3 linked regions of the Xenopus tropicalis genome follow. The protein of the gene in region 1 purifies or fractionates together with the protein of each later gene. This does not show direct contact. Links are inferred from orthologs where the notes say so. Each region holds a gene or a part of one and is shown in the gene's direction. Other genes may lie near its edges. The genes, in order: champ1, cbx3 and cbx1.

What was found.
Region 2: the proteins of champ1 (region 1) and cbx3 purify together in Homo sapiens (affinity purification with mass spectrometry; 6 studies listed by BioGRID and IntAct, with this or other methods). This does not show direct contact. The link is inferred for Xenopus tropicalis from reciprocal best matches to the Homo sapiens genes CHAMP1 and CBX3.
Region 3: the proteins of champ1 (region 1) and cbx1 purify together in Homo sapiens (affinity purification with mass spectrometry; 6 studies listed by BioGRID and IntAct, with this or other methods). This does not show direct contact. The link is inferred for Xenopus tropicalis from reciprocal best matches to the Homo sapiens genes CHAMP1 and CBX1.

What each region holds. Positions count from the first base shown.
Region 1 is NC_030678.2:111,848,021-111,852,033, forward strand, and holds the start of champ1 (chromosome alignment-maintaining phosphoprotein 1), read left to right. Parts: upstream 1-1,207; 5' UTR 1,208-1,336; intron 1,337-4,013. UniProt on the Homo sapiens protein: Required for proper alignment of chromosomes at metaphase and their accurate segregation during mitosis. Involved in the maintenance of spindle microtubules attachment to the kinetochore during sister chromatid biorientation.
Region 2 is NC_030682.2:41,663,397-41,667,581, forward strand, and holds the start of cbx3 (chromobox protein homolog 3), read left to right. Parts: upstream 1-1,366; 5' UTR 1,367-1,412; intron 1,413-2,260; exon of another isoform or gene 2,261-2,284; coding exon of another isoform or gene 2,285-2,334; intron 2,335-4,185.
Region 3 is NC_030686.2:11,721,910-11,726,148, reverse strand, and holds the start of cbx1 (chromobox protein homolog 1), read left to right. Parts: upstream 1-1,420; 5' UTR 1,421-1,542; intron 1,543-3,562; 5' UTR 3,563-3,592; coding exon 3,593-3,732; intron 3,733-4,239. UniProt on the Homo sapiens protein: Component of heterochromatin. Recognizes and binds histone H3 tails methylated at 'Lys-9', leading to epigenetic repression. Interaction with lamin B receptor (LBR) can contribute to the association of the heterochromatin with the inner nuclear membrane.

The sequences.
Region 1 (4,013 bases):
TAATCATGTCCCCTCGCAAGCGCCTCTTTTCCAGAGAAAACAACCTCAACCTCGACAGTCTCACCTCATAGTTTAAATCTTCCATCCCCTTGCAAAAGTGAGCCACTTAAAGGAAAAGTAACACTAACATTTTTAAAGTAAAAAATCTATTCTACCCTGCCCTAATAATTGCCCTATCCTGCACACCATTTATACGATAGCAGGTATTTTAGGTATGCAATTGCAGCATTTGCTTGAGGAGTGTTGGGCCTATACATGTGTTGCTGTTGGGCCCTCAGTTAACAATTTTACTAAACTTTCTTTATGGAAATCTTGTTCCCATCATTCGCCTGAGGAAGATGTGTTACCCCCAAGGCCTCAGTATAAAGATCTGTGTCATATTAATGCACAACCACTGGGGGCTCTTCACCTCTATGTGCCAAAAGGAGTCTTTTTACCTAAGATTTCATCATTTCATCTGACTCTAGTTTGCATAAAAACTCTTTCCTTCTTGGTCAAATTGGTAAAAAGGCTCTGATGACGGCAGGCACTTCTGGCAGGAAACAAATGTCTTGGAAGCTCCTGACACCACCACAAAAAAGACTAAAAAGATTACTGTAGGTACCCATTAGACTCTCCTAAAGGCCATACATTGTCCCAAATTGTGAAAAATACTGTCCTTGTCTTTAAATACTGGAGCAGAACTCAAAATATCAATGTCTAGGTAACTTGGCGACAGCCAGTGTGGGCCAAGTCATTCCTGAAACAGTGGAAACTGGGCCAGCATGGTACTGAAGGTGGTTTACTTGGTCAGTTTCTTATTCGTGCCTTGAAGTTGTTTTGTTCCTGAATTGTGAAAATTCTGCCCATTGTGTGTGTGGAACCATCAAAGTATAATTAAACTAAAAAAAGTGACTTCATTTCAACCACCCCCAGTTTGCACAAAAATAAAGTTTTCTTTTTCTGTCAAATTAACAGAAGAGGCTCCGACAGCACCATGTACAGATGGCAACCAGAAATAAATAAAATATATATATATATTTCTTTTGTTCCCTAGCAAAAAGCGTAACTCTAAGCAAAAATATAAATGGCTATATTGGGAGTGCATGGCGAACAACCAACATGAAACAAAAGTTTGTTTTTCTATTATTTGTTTTCTAACAAAAGAAGGCGGTACGACCACGGTGTCAAAGTTACGCAGTCTCCGCTAGTCACTTGCGCAATGCGGCTACGTGATGCGTCACTGCGCTTACGTGAAGTCGTGATGCCAGTCTCGCGTGATGAGACGGGATTTGGCGTCGGGATTTTCCGCAAGAGAGGCGGCCAGGAGCTTGCAGTTACCAGCTTTGTGGTAGGTGTAAGTAGCGATCTTGGACTGTTGTTATAGGAAAATAGGTGTGTGTGTTGGGCAGTCTGCACTTATTTGGGCTAGTTTGACCCCTTTCGCTTAGAGAGCTGCAGACTCCGTAAGGGGCAGGAGCTTAGAGTGCAATATGCATGCATGTTCTTTCCCTTACACAGCTTTCAGTAATGCTCTTTTTGTCACGGAGGTTTTAGCCCCGTAGAGCTGCACAGGACTGGGTGGGTGGGAATGCGATTCTATCGGGCTAAAACCTAGCTGCTTGGGTTAGAGAGATGTTTTCTATTAGTAATTACATCCTTAGACACTGGTTTGTAATTAAGCACAGAAAATAGGGACATAAAATCTAAAATACTAGTAAAATGGGGTAAAAGAAAGGACAGGAAAGTAGTGATTACCTTTTTAGCAATGTTTTTTCGTCTCCATAAGGGCCTGGTACAGATTTGCAATGTATCTGCAATGCATCTCAATGTAATAGAGATGTCCCCTTCTGTGGTGATCCTACCTGCCATTCTCATGTGCCTCAGTGCCGAGAGATGCAAACCATTGTCATTCTCATGTGACACAGTAGTTTTATTTTCTCAAAACATAAGGACTGTACACAGTGTGTATACAAGTACATTATCCCATTTATTCATTGTTTGAAAACATGTGACAGACTCCAAATAAAGCTCGATTACAAAAATGTATATTATATGTAATAAAGAGTGGCGTGGCGATCTGACCATCGGTTGCACGAAACATCGTCAGATCCGCCACACACCATTCAGGGCTGAATCGGCAGGTAAGGAGGTAGAAACAATAGGATTTCTACCTCCTTCTGCCGATTCAGCGCTGAAGGGAGATTTTGGTCAGGCGCCTTCTATGGCGCCTGATCAAAATTTTCAAACTGGTCCAATCGGCAAGTCGTCCGATATCAGCAGCTTCCTGCGATATCGGTCGACTCGCCAACATACCATACACGCACCGAATATCGTACGAAACGAGGTTTCGTATGATATTATCTGTGCGTGTATGGCTACCTTTACAGGTGCATTACAGTATAATTCATGCAATAGTAAAGTACTTTGTTTTTTATAATAACCTGATGATTTGTTTTCATTAGAAAAGTGGAGGTAAGATTAAATCAGGAAAAAATGCTCAAAAAAGCCACAATTCCTGTATGGCATGCAGTTATCTGTGCACGTGCAAAGTGCAGTGTCCTGGCATGCGGGATAATCTGTGAATTTACTTGCTCTGTATCCTGTATCCCCCAGGTATGGTACTTGGACTACATGCATTGTGGGCTGGTCACTTAGGAGGAACCCTGGAAGCATAGTTTTGGTTGCATGTTGGGGCAGGGGTGCGGTATTTTATTTGGCAGCCCTATTGTTACTTTTATATATATATATATATGAAGACAAGGCATATAAAATTGCACACAGTAAGGCATCATATTTATTTGCACAGTGTTTTATGGATCAAATACATTAAAATGGAACCCTACATAGAAATAGGGTATTTTCCCCCGTTAATGATGATTGTGATTTTTTTCTGACAATGTTTTCTTGTAATACTATACACAGTAGGCTTATAAAAGACAACAGCCTGTAAAATAATCTGAAAAAAACTTCTAACAGTGCCTAAGGATATGAGTTTGAATCAGTTTTGGTGATGTGGGATGTGTATTACATACGCCATACCTTTTGTCCACAGGCTCTTGTCTCTATATGGTTGTGGAACTCCTTGGCAAATTCTAATATCCTTACTTTTTTAACAGAGGGTACACCATTCCCTCTGTTAATTAATGCAAGTAGCATTAATTAACAAGTCATTCTCTTGTAACCCCCCCCCACTTCATTGGTGCACGCCATATATTGATATATATAAATTTGTGTGGACCTTGAGACCTGGGAGGACCCGTAGCTAAGCATTCGGCTCACATCGGTGACGTCACCGAAAGAAGGGAATCCGTGCTGTGCCGTGTGAAGGAGCTCGATCCTCCCAGTGTTTAGACCCACAGTAAGTTCCCGGCCGGGACAGAGGGTATTCTAGCTAACACCTGTAGGGTGTGGGGGATCTATTCAGCACCAGGTTAAGGTCTAGGAGGTGCCTGTACTTATATTGTAGCCTTTGGTGATACCTCACATTGCAAGCGCCACATGTTAGGGTGCATACACGAGTGTTTGCCCTTATAATCTTATTGGACAGTTTCCTTCCTAATTGGGTGTCCGTTTGGGAGTGAGCTCCCCAACTGGGGCCTTTTTTTCCCCATATTATTGCTGTATCCTTCGATTAGGCAGTTATGAAGTCGCAACTTTTCACTTAATTATAGACTGGGCATTTATGTAGTAATCCATCCCCTCCTGTGCTTAGTGTAGCAGTCTGTTACAGATTTATCCAGTATATCTGATTCATTTGGTAGTTCTTTTGCCTACCTTTTAACCAACTGATCTTATGTATATGTATTTTTAGTAATGCCAACGTTTAGTTTTTTTTAACCTATCCTCATATGAATTAATATATTGTTCCTATTTCATCCTCCATTGAACTGATAGGTTTAGTCACATTTCTCCATTTTAGCTTTTCAATTGAATTTCTGATTTTCACTTTATGTATTGTAATTATTTATATTTTTTAATACAAGGTTTATGTATTTATGTGAGATTATTTTTATTGTAATGAATTATTGTAT
Region 2 (4,185 bases), on another chromosome or scaffold:
AGAGCAACGGCCAAGGGTACCTGTAGTGAGCGTTTCCTCCTTCCGGTTTCGTTTTGCAAGTACTACATGACAGGCGCATGCTCAGTAGAGTGAAAAAGCGACTTCTCTGTTAAAGTTCGGCTTTTCACTCTACTGCGCATGCGAAGATGTAAGGAGGAAGCGCTGCATCTACCTCGGGCTGGTGCTGTTCTCTCCGAACAGTGGCACCAGTCAGGGATAAAAGGTAGGCGATTTAAGTAACTTGGGGGTGCCCAACATTTTGGCACCCCCAAGTGACTTTGCCTTTCCTTCTCCTTTAAGTTACCAGGAGTGACTTTTGCTGCCCCTGGTAACTTGCCAGGCTCTGCCGTCTGAGGCGATAGGTGCAGGGGCACAGTTACTGTGAAGCGAGTTTAAAAACTCGCCTCAGGCAGCAGCACCCCCGAAGTTACCAGGGGAGGCAAATAGCCGCTCCTGACAACTTTAGGAGCCAAATTTCTGGTTTTTAAAAGGGAAATTTTGCTGCACTATAGCAGAGATTGCCATGGCACTCTCTACACTAGCGATGTGGCATGCCTGGACCCCCTCCCGTGCTGTAAAGGCATGGTAGGAACCTCCTCAGGTGGCTCAGGGGCAAGAAACACCCCTGGATAGGTGCAGTGCACTTGCATCTAGAGAATAGGTTCCTGACACTCTCATATTAAATGGACAGAATTTTTTTTAGCGCAATTGCATCTAATTTACAGCAAAGTTTGCCTGAAATTGCACTTGGCAGACTGCCCTGCACTTGTAAGCATAAATATTTTCTGTGTAGGTGATGTGACTGCTCAGCTGCCAGTGTATACCTAGAACGTCCAGATGATGAAACGCATACACTGGACAGACAGGGGAGTGCCTTCGTAAAATACACGAAAATGGCGGCCTAGTGAAGTGAAATATGTGTCAATGCCACATATTTCAAGCATTTTTTTTTTTTTTTTATTATTTGCAAACAAAACGACATGTATCAGTCAGACACCTACACGAGGAGCGACAGAGGCGGGCGGAGCCTGGGACCTACCTTTCAACACGTGACTCACTACTATTAAATATATAATTCGGGTTTTCTTTTATCATTAAGACCCTGACTTCATGGGCTCTTCAACTACACCCGTGTAGATTGTACCGGAATTGACATTAACTGCCCTCAAGGCAGGCTGTCCTATTTTGTCAGGGTGCCGCTTCCCTTAGACCCATGGTATTGAAAGAGTTACTGTTCGCGCCAGTAAATTCCCCGCCAGTGTGTTGGTAGGGCCCATTGTTCTGCGCGTCACTCGGGCCCTCCCACTCCTGCGCACATCGGAGCTGCAGGCAGCCGCGGCTTGGAGAGCGTTTCTCGGTGTGAGGGGGACGGAGCAGGAGTCACCGGGTGCTGGTTATCCAAAGAGAGTGAGGTACGGGGATGAGAGAGAGGAATGTTGTACCCGGGGGCATGAGGAGGGAGAGGAGCAGCATGGGAGAAGCACGGCCCGGCAGGGTTGGGGAGGCGGGAAAATTGCTGCTAGTTTGGGAGAGAAGCGGAGGCCTGCTGCAGAGTAGCAGCACAGACCAATGGGTGGGAGGCATTGTGTAAGGGCGGGGAGGCCGTTCTGCAAACATACTGCCTTGTCTTCAATTGCTGCTCACCGCTACCTGGGCTTGTTGGGAGCTGTAGTTCAACGGCAGAAAAAGTCACAACTTTCTATTTCACGTATATATCTTGCCGAATGAAGAGCGGCCCCCTAGCACTTATATGACGCTAGCAGTGTTAGTGGTATTCCGCCAGTATTCCCATGCCCGGTGCAGCGCACAGTAACTCTCACATAGTGCTAGGATGGATACCCCCTGAGTTTCTCTGTATCACTGGGTTTCTTTACAATGAAGCTAATGCTGTTCGGTACGGGGGGTGCGCAGGCGCGAAGGTTCGTGGCCTCTAGGTGGTTAGTAGGGAAAGTAAAGGGTATACAGGGCAATGGCTACCCGGGCTGGACAATCATAGGGAAAGCTCGGTGCCGCTGGTTATAATGGTTTCCAACTGTGCCATGCAGTTTCCCCTGCGACAGTCTAATCTCTAGTTTCCGTGAATGTGTGTTCCTCATCTCCCTCCGGAATACATTCGGTTAATCAATCATGTTGCGGCTCATTCACATGTACGCATGCGTGTTGGAGGGGGTGGGGGATGCTTTTGCTTTCCGGCTTGGGAGGTGAAGCGGCGTAAAACTTTATCTGGATGCACGTTGCGCAGAGCTGCTTTCACGCTAATGTTGTATGGGGGGGCGGGGGGGTTATGGAGTCTCGCACGGCAGTCACAGCAGAAAATTCCTGCCTTTGTTTCTGGTATGGCAGAATTTCGCCTCACGGCAGACCGCTTTCTCATTTCAAGGGACAGTGTATCCCGTGTTTATAGGATTGGCTTAGTGATAAGGGCGTGTGCTGAAAGGAGACTTATCATAACAAATTAAGAATGTACTAGTGAATTATACTTTAAATATAGAAGGATTGTGCTTTAAAATAGTTGTTTCAGACTGATTTATTGAAACATTATACACAGACCCCTCTAGTCCCGCCCATCTGTTCCACTTCCTGCAGGCTGAAATCTCTGGATGTGCAGGGGAACCACTGGCTCTTGGCACACTGCACTGTAGGATAGGAACCTACGCTAGGCGGACCCAATAGGGAACTGAAGTATGTCTTTGCTTGTGAATTCAACTGTTAGGATACTCCCGCCCTTCATTTGAAGCACAGAAGACTGATAGGATCTACATGGAGCTCCAGTAAAGGAGACCTTTTTACAGATAGGATTAATTTTTAGCCCGAAGTGACACCAGCACCATATAGTATTCATAAGTGCCTACAAAATTAGGGGTTTTTCCACTTATCCAATGTCTCATTGAACTTCATTTTTCCCTGTGTTAATTATTTATATTGTTTTATTCTTCTTTGCACTAAACAGGCCAGAATCTTCAGGTAGTCACTTAGAGGTGTTTAGATTAGTCCTTTTTCTGGAGCAATGAATTGCCTTTTGAGTGCTGAACCTGTTCTAATAATCAAATGAAAAACCAGTCTCTTAAGGTTTGGGATAATACCCCATAGTTTCCAGTGAAATTAAATCTCAAGAAAACCTAATTGACAGAGGTTAGGTTTTTATTTTTATCTCTGGAATAAAAATGTGCCAGCCTAGAGCTCTTTAAGTAGCAGTGATACCACAATACTGCACTTTTCCCTGGAATTCCTAGTGTAAACAGACTAGCACAAGCACGGTATACTACCATTGGAAAATTTTTATTAAACTGGACATGTGCAAGTTTGTGCTAGGAATCCTTGGGTAAAGTCTGGCACTTTTTGTGAGAATAGTTGGCCAAAGAAATAATTTTCTAACTTATTGGCACCCTTGTGCTTTAACATTATAACTTACTACATAGCAGGGAGCTAGCACCTAATTGTAAGCATAATACAGTTTGTGTTGGGATAATTTTGATAAGGCTGTGAAAAAGTGGTGCATATTGTCTTTGGAATGGTGCTCACAGTATTAGGGGCTGTTCCTTTACAGAAGAGGAGTGTTTCTATTAGGTTAGGTAGGATCAAGCATAGCAGCTATCAGTGGGCAGTGCTGGCACGGTGTGTACTGTGCTAAGAACTTGTACTGTATGTAATCAGGGAGCAGGAGGCTGGAAATTCTCTCATGTGACCAACAGTCTGAAGTGCCATTTTACACTAATGTTAACAGGAAAGTTTGAAATGGAGAGTACTAATTGCATATACAATTATTGGTTTATATTGATAACTACTGTATTAATAATGCATGTCTTGTAACATATGTTTCTGATATCTAAATGTCTCTTAAAGGGGTAGTGCACCCCAGTGAATAGGGCTTGTGCCAAATGCACTTCTATCTTATTTAAGAAAAACATTCTTGTGATTTCTTGTAGTAAACTGGCACAATCTAAAACAAAGTTGCATTCTACTTCCTGGCTGTATAATTAAGGTCAAAACAGATCTGCGTTCTACTGCTGTTCCTTATCTCTGTCTTACAGGCTGCAGCTGGGCAAGGAATCTTAGTGGGCAACTGATTTGTTTTGACCTTGATTGTAGGGACGGGAACTTTGAATGAAAGGGAACCCAAATGAAAATATCTGCTTTTGTTTTGTGCAAGAAATCTCAATTGTACCAACTAATTGCCCTGCATGT
Region 3 (4,239 bases), on another chromosome or scaffold:
ACCCCAGTACCATACCTACCCCCCCCCCCAGTCTCTCACCCCAGTGCCATATCTACCCACCCCCCAGTCTCACACTCCAGTGCCATACCTACCCACCCCCCCCAGTCTCTCACCCCAGTGCCATACCTACCCACCCCCCCAGTCTCTCACCCCAGTGCCATACCTACCCACCCCCCCCAGTCTCACACTCCAGTGCCATACCTACCCACCCCCCAGTCTCACACTCCAGTGCCATACCTGCCCACCCCCCCAGTCTCTCACCCCAGTACCATACCTACCCCCCCCCCCAGTCTCTCACCCCAGTGCCATACCTGCCCACCCCCCAGTCTCACACTCCAGTGCCATACCTACCCACCCCCCAGTCTCACACTCCAGTGCCATACCTACCCACCCCCCCCAGTCTCTCACCCCAGTACCATACCTACCCCCCCCCCAGTCTCTCACCCCAGTGCCATACCTACCCACCCCCCAGTCTCACACTCCAGTGCCATACCTACCCACCCCCCAGTCTCACACTCCAGTGCCATACCTACCCACCCCCCCCAGTCTCTCACCCCAGTGCCATACCTACCCACCCCCCCAGTCTCTCACCCCCAGTGCCATACCTACCCACCCCCCCCAGTCTCACACTCCAGTGCCATACCTACCCACCCCCCAGTCTCACACTCCAGTGCCATACCTGCCCACCCCCCCAGTCTCTCACCCCAGTGCCATACCTGCCCACCCCCCCAGTCTCTCACCCCAGTGCCATACCTACCCACCCCCCCAGTCTCTCACCCCAGTGCCATACCTGCCCACCCCCCCAGTCTCTCACCCCAGTGCCATACCTGCCCACCCCCCCAGTCTCTCACCCCAGTGCCATACCTGCCCACCCCCCCAGTCTCTCACCCCAGTGCCATACCTGCCCACCCCCCCAGTCTCTCACCCCAGTGCCATACCTACCGACCCCTTCCCATTCCAGCTTTAACTGTGCAGCGACTATAAAAACAGTGAAGTGATTCCCGGGCTCCACACTGAGGGGCTAAATCTGTGCCGGACCAGGCAGCAGCCTTCACGCCTACTAGCCACTAACATGGCCCCACACAGCCAGCAGCCTTCACGCCTACTAGCCACTAACATGGCCCCACACAGCCAGCAGCCTTCACGCCTACTAGCCACTAACATGGCCCCACACAGCCAGCAGCCTTCACGCCTACTAGCCACTATCATGGCCCCACACAGCCAGCAACAGATAAGCTCATTAAACACTGCCCACTCGGCCCGTACATGGCTCCCAGGGAAAGAACTACACTTCCCGCCATGCTAGGCGGCTCTCCCCCCGCGCATGCGCACTCCCCCGATCCCTTGGCGGCAGCGCTGCTTCTTTTGTTTGGAGGCGCCACATCCTTAGAACCGAACCGGATCGGGACGCACAGGAATCAATTTGTTCTGTTCATTCAGGGGATCGGAACCCGCTCCAATAGCCGAGAAGAAAGCGAGCTCCAGCCGCGCAGCCGGACCGATCCCAGGCCCCAGGCACCGGGGAGCCCAAGCAAGCGGCGGGTAAGGGCGGCCTGATCCCCGCATGTGCGCCTTCTCTCCCTACTGCCGGACTGCCCCCTCCCATTCCTCTGGGAAACGGGCCGCTGAGCATGCTGGGATTTGTAGTGCGTAACATGCAGCCAGCAACGTTCTGTTATTCGCACACAAACAAGTTCTTGCAACTTAATTCACTAGTGATTTGCCTCCATCAACCTGTAGCATTCCAACTGCTCTGAAAACTACACTTCCCAGCATTCCCAGCACAGGGTATAACTTGTTACAGGGATTTCACAAGTCCATGTTTGCACTATGGATGTAGCTTTGTTTCCCAGGGTTTTGTGGGGGATGCTGGGAGTTGTAGTCAGTGGCCCACTCTTGGTACAATGTTCTTCCCAAACTTTATGCATAGTGCCCAGTCACATGGTGGCTCCTATCCCCAGGGGGTAAGGTTGGCATATTATCCCCCAGATGCACCCAAGGCCCTGTGTGCGCACATTGCACCTCAGGCCACAAAACCTGAATTCTGCACGTCTGGCCCATAGAAAAGCAGAGGGAATGTTGGCTGTGGGGCCCCACACTCGCAGGGCTGCAGTAGCCAACGTGATGTAACCTCCGGCCAGGGGAATGTGAGGGGCAAACACTCCCACACAGCTGGTATTATTTGGCTGCAGAGCTTTCATTCTTTGGGAGCCATAATTAGCTTTGTACATTGTGTGGGGAGTCGCTCACTCAGTAGCAAAGTGCAGAAATAGAAGAGGCTGCAGAATGGGGGCAAAGGAGCAAGTTCCTGAGGTGAAATGCATATAGCATGTGTGTAACAGAGCCAGGCGGGGGGGGGCAATGCCAGGCTGGGGGGGGAGTGTTAGCTCTAAGCCAGGCAGCCTGGCACGTGGCACAGCTTCACTCAAGGCTACTCCTATTCATTCTGTGCACTGTGTCTGCATGGCTACCAAATGTATTGCACGTTTAGGGTCTGGATTATTTTGAATGAATAGTCTGTGGAGCCCTGTAATACAGGGGTCCCCAACCACCGGTCCATGGGCTGTGCTGAACCGGGCCACCTCTGGTCCCAATTACCCGTGATCCCAACTCCCTGATGCGTTACACAGCCATGACAATAGCTATGCGGAGCCCAGGAAGATTTCTACTGATCACGACAAGGACCAAAGTACTTTATTAAGCTGTATGCAATAATAATAATAATAATAATAATAATAACGTGCATAGTATGCACTAGTTGCGCCACACCCCCCCATCCCCGGTCCTTGGAAAAATTGTCTTGCTTGAAACCGGTCCGTGGTGCAAAAAAGGTTGGGGACCACTGCTGTAATAGATCCTGAGGCCATAACAATCCCATGGAGGGAAACATCTGGCCCTGGGGACCCTCCGCCTGGACAGCAGGGCTGTAGGAGTCAAGCCGGAGCCTTCAGTAAAATCTTGTCTGTAGTCCCAGGCTACATTATACCGTCTCCTTTATGGGTCTCCCAGAGCTTGCAGTCTAATCTGCGCTGTCTCGGCGCTGCAATAGGGATCAGTTATGTGAATCCGAGACAGTCTGTGACATCTGCAGCTGTGTCGTATCTCTCACACATCGGCTCAGGCCATTAAAGGGGATGTTTGCATGAACTCTTAGTGTGTTGTAGATAGACCTATGAACAACTTTTCGCTTGACCTTTATTATTTATTTTGTATATTTCGGTTTTGTTATTTCCTGCCGGCAGCTGAAAATTATGACTGGGTGTTGGGGGTTCATCACTACCATCAGTCCCTGACAGTAGAGCTTACAATCTAAGGTACACGCACTAGGGTCGCTTTTATTAGAAGCCGAATAACCTGCCTGTATGGTTTTGGAGTGTGGGAGAGCCACGCAGATATAAGGAGAACATACATATTTCATGCGGATGTGTGCCCTGGCTGGATTCAAACATGTAACCCCACACAGTAATGCAAACTACATACACATATAGGGAATTATGTACCCCCTTATGTAAAGCATAAGGATATTATAAGTCACCAAGTTCTCCTCTTTCTTCCCATGCAGCTCCATTAAGCAGATAAACTGGCGACCTCCATGGGAAAGAAGCAGAACAAGAAAAAGATGGAAGAGGTTGTCGACGAGGAGGAGGAGGAGTACGTGGTGGAGAAGGTCCTGGACCGACGGGTGGTGAAAGGGAAAGTGGAGTATCTCCTGAAATGGAAAGGTTTCTCTGAGTAAGTGCTGCTCCATGGTTTCTTGTCCTTATGCGCTGCTAATGCACATTGAACCGGTAAGGGGAGCGTTCATAAACCTGCACGCCGCGTCTGTATTACTGTAAAATATTACAGGTATGGGGTCTCTTATCTGGAAACCTGATATCCAACCGATCAGGAAAAAAACAAAAGGGGAAGTAAACACAAATATTAGTGTTCATTATGACAACTTACATCAAAAGTTAAACTGAGACTCCTCCCCCCCCCCCCCCCAAGGAAATCTTGTATCCACCGATTGGCTAATTTTTTTTGTTTTTTATTTCGCCTTAAAAAGTGACTCAGCCTGCCATTGAGTGTGAGGGAAGCCCAAAACGCCTAAGGCTTTACTCATGGGTTAATAACTTTTTTTTACAGCTGAATATGAGGGATTTTAACCAGCGTCTGCTCATTGTACTTTTTTGCTCCCCGTTATTGATCCCAACTGATATCTATATACTGTGGCTGCTGGTTGGTTCTTCAGTTGCTGTG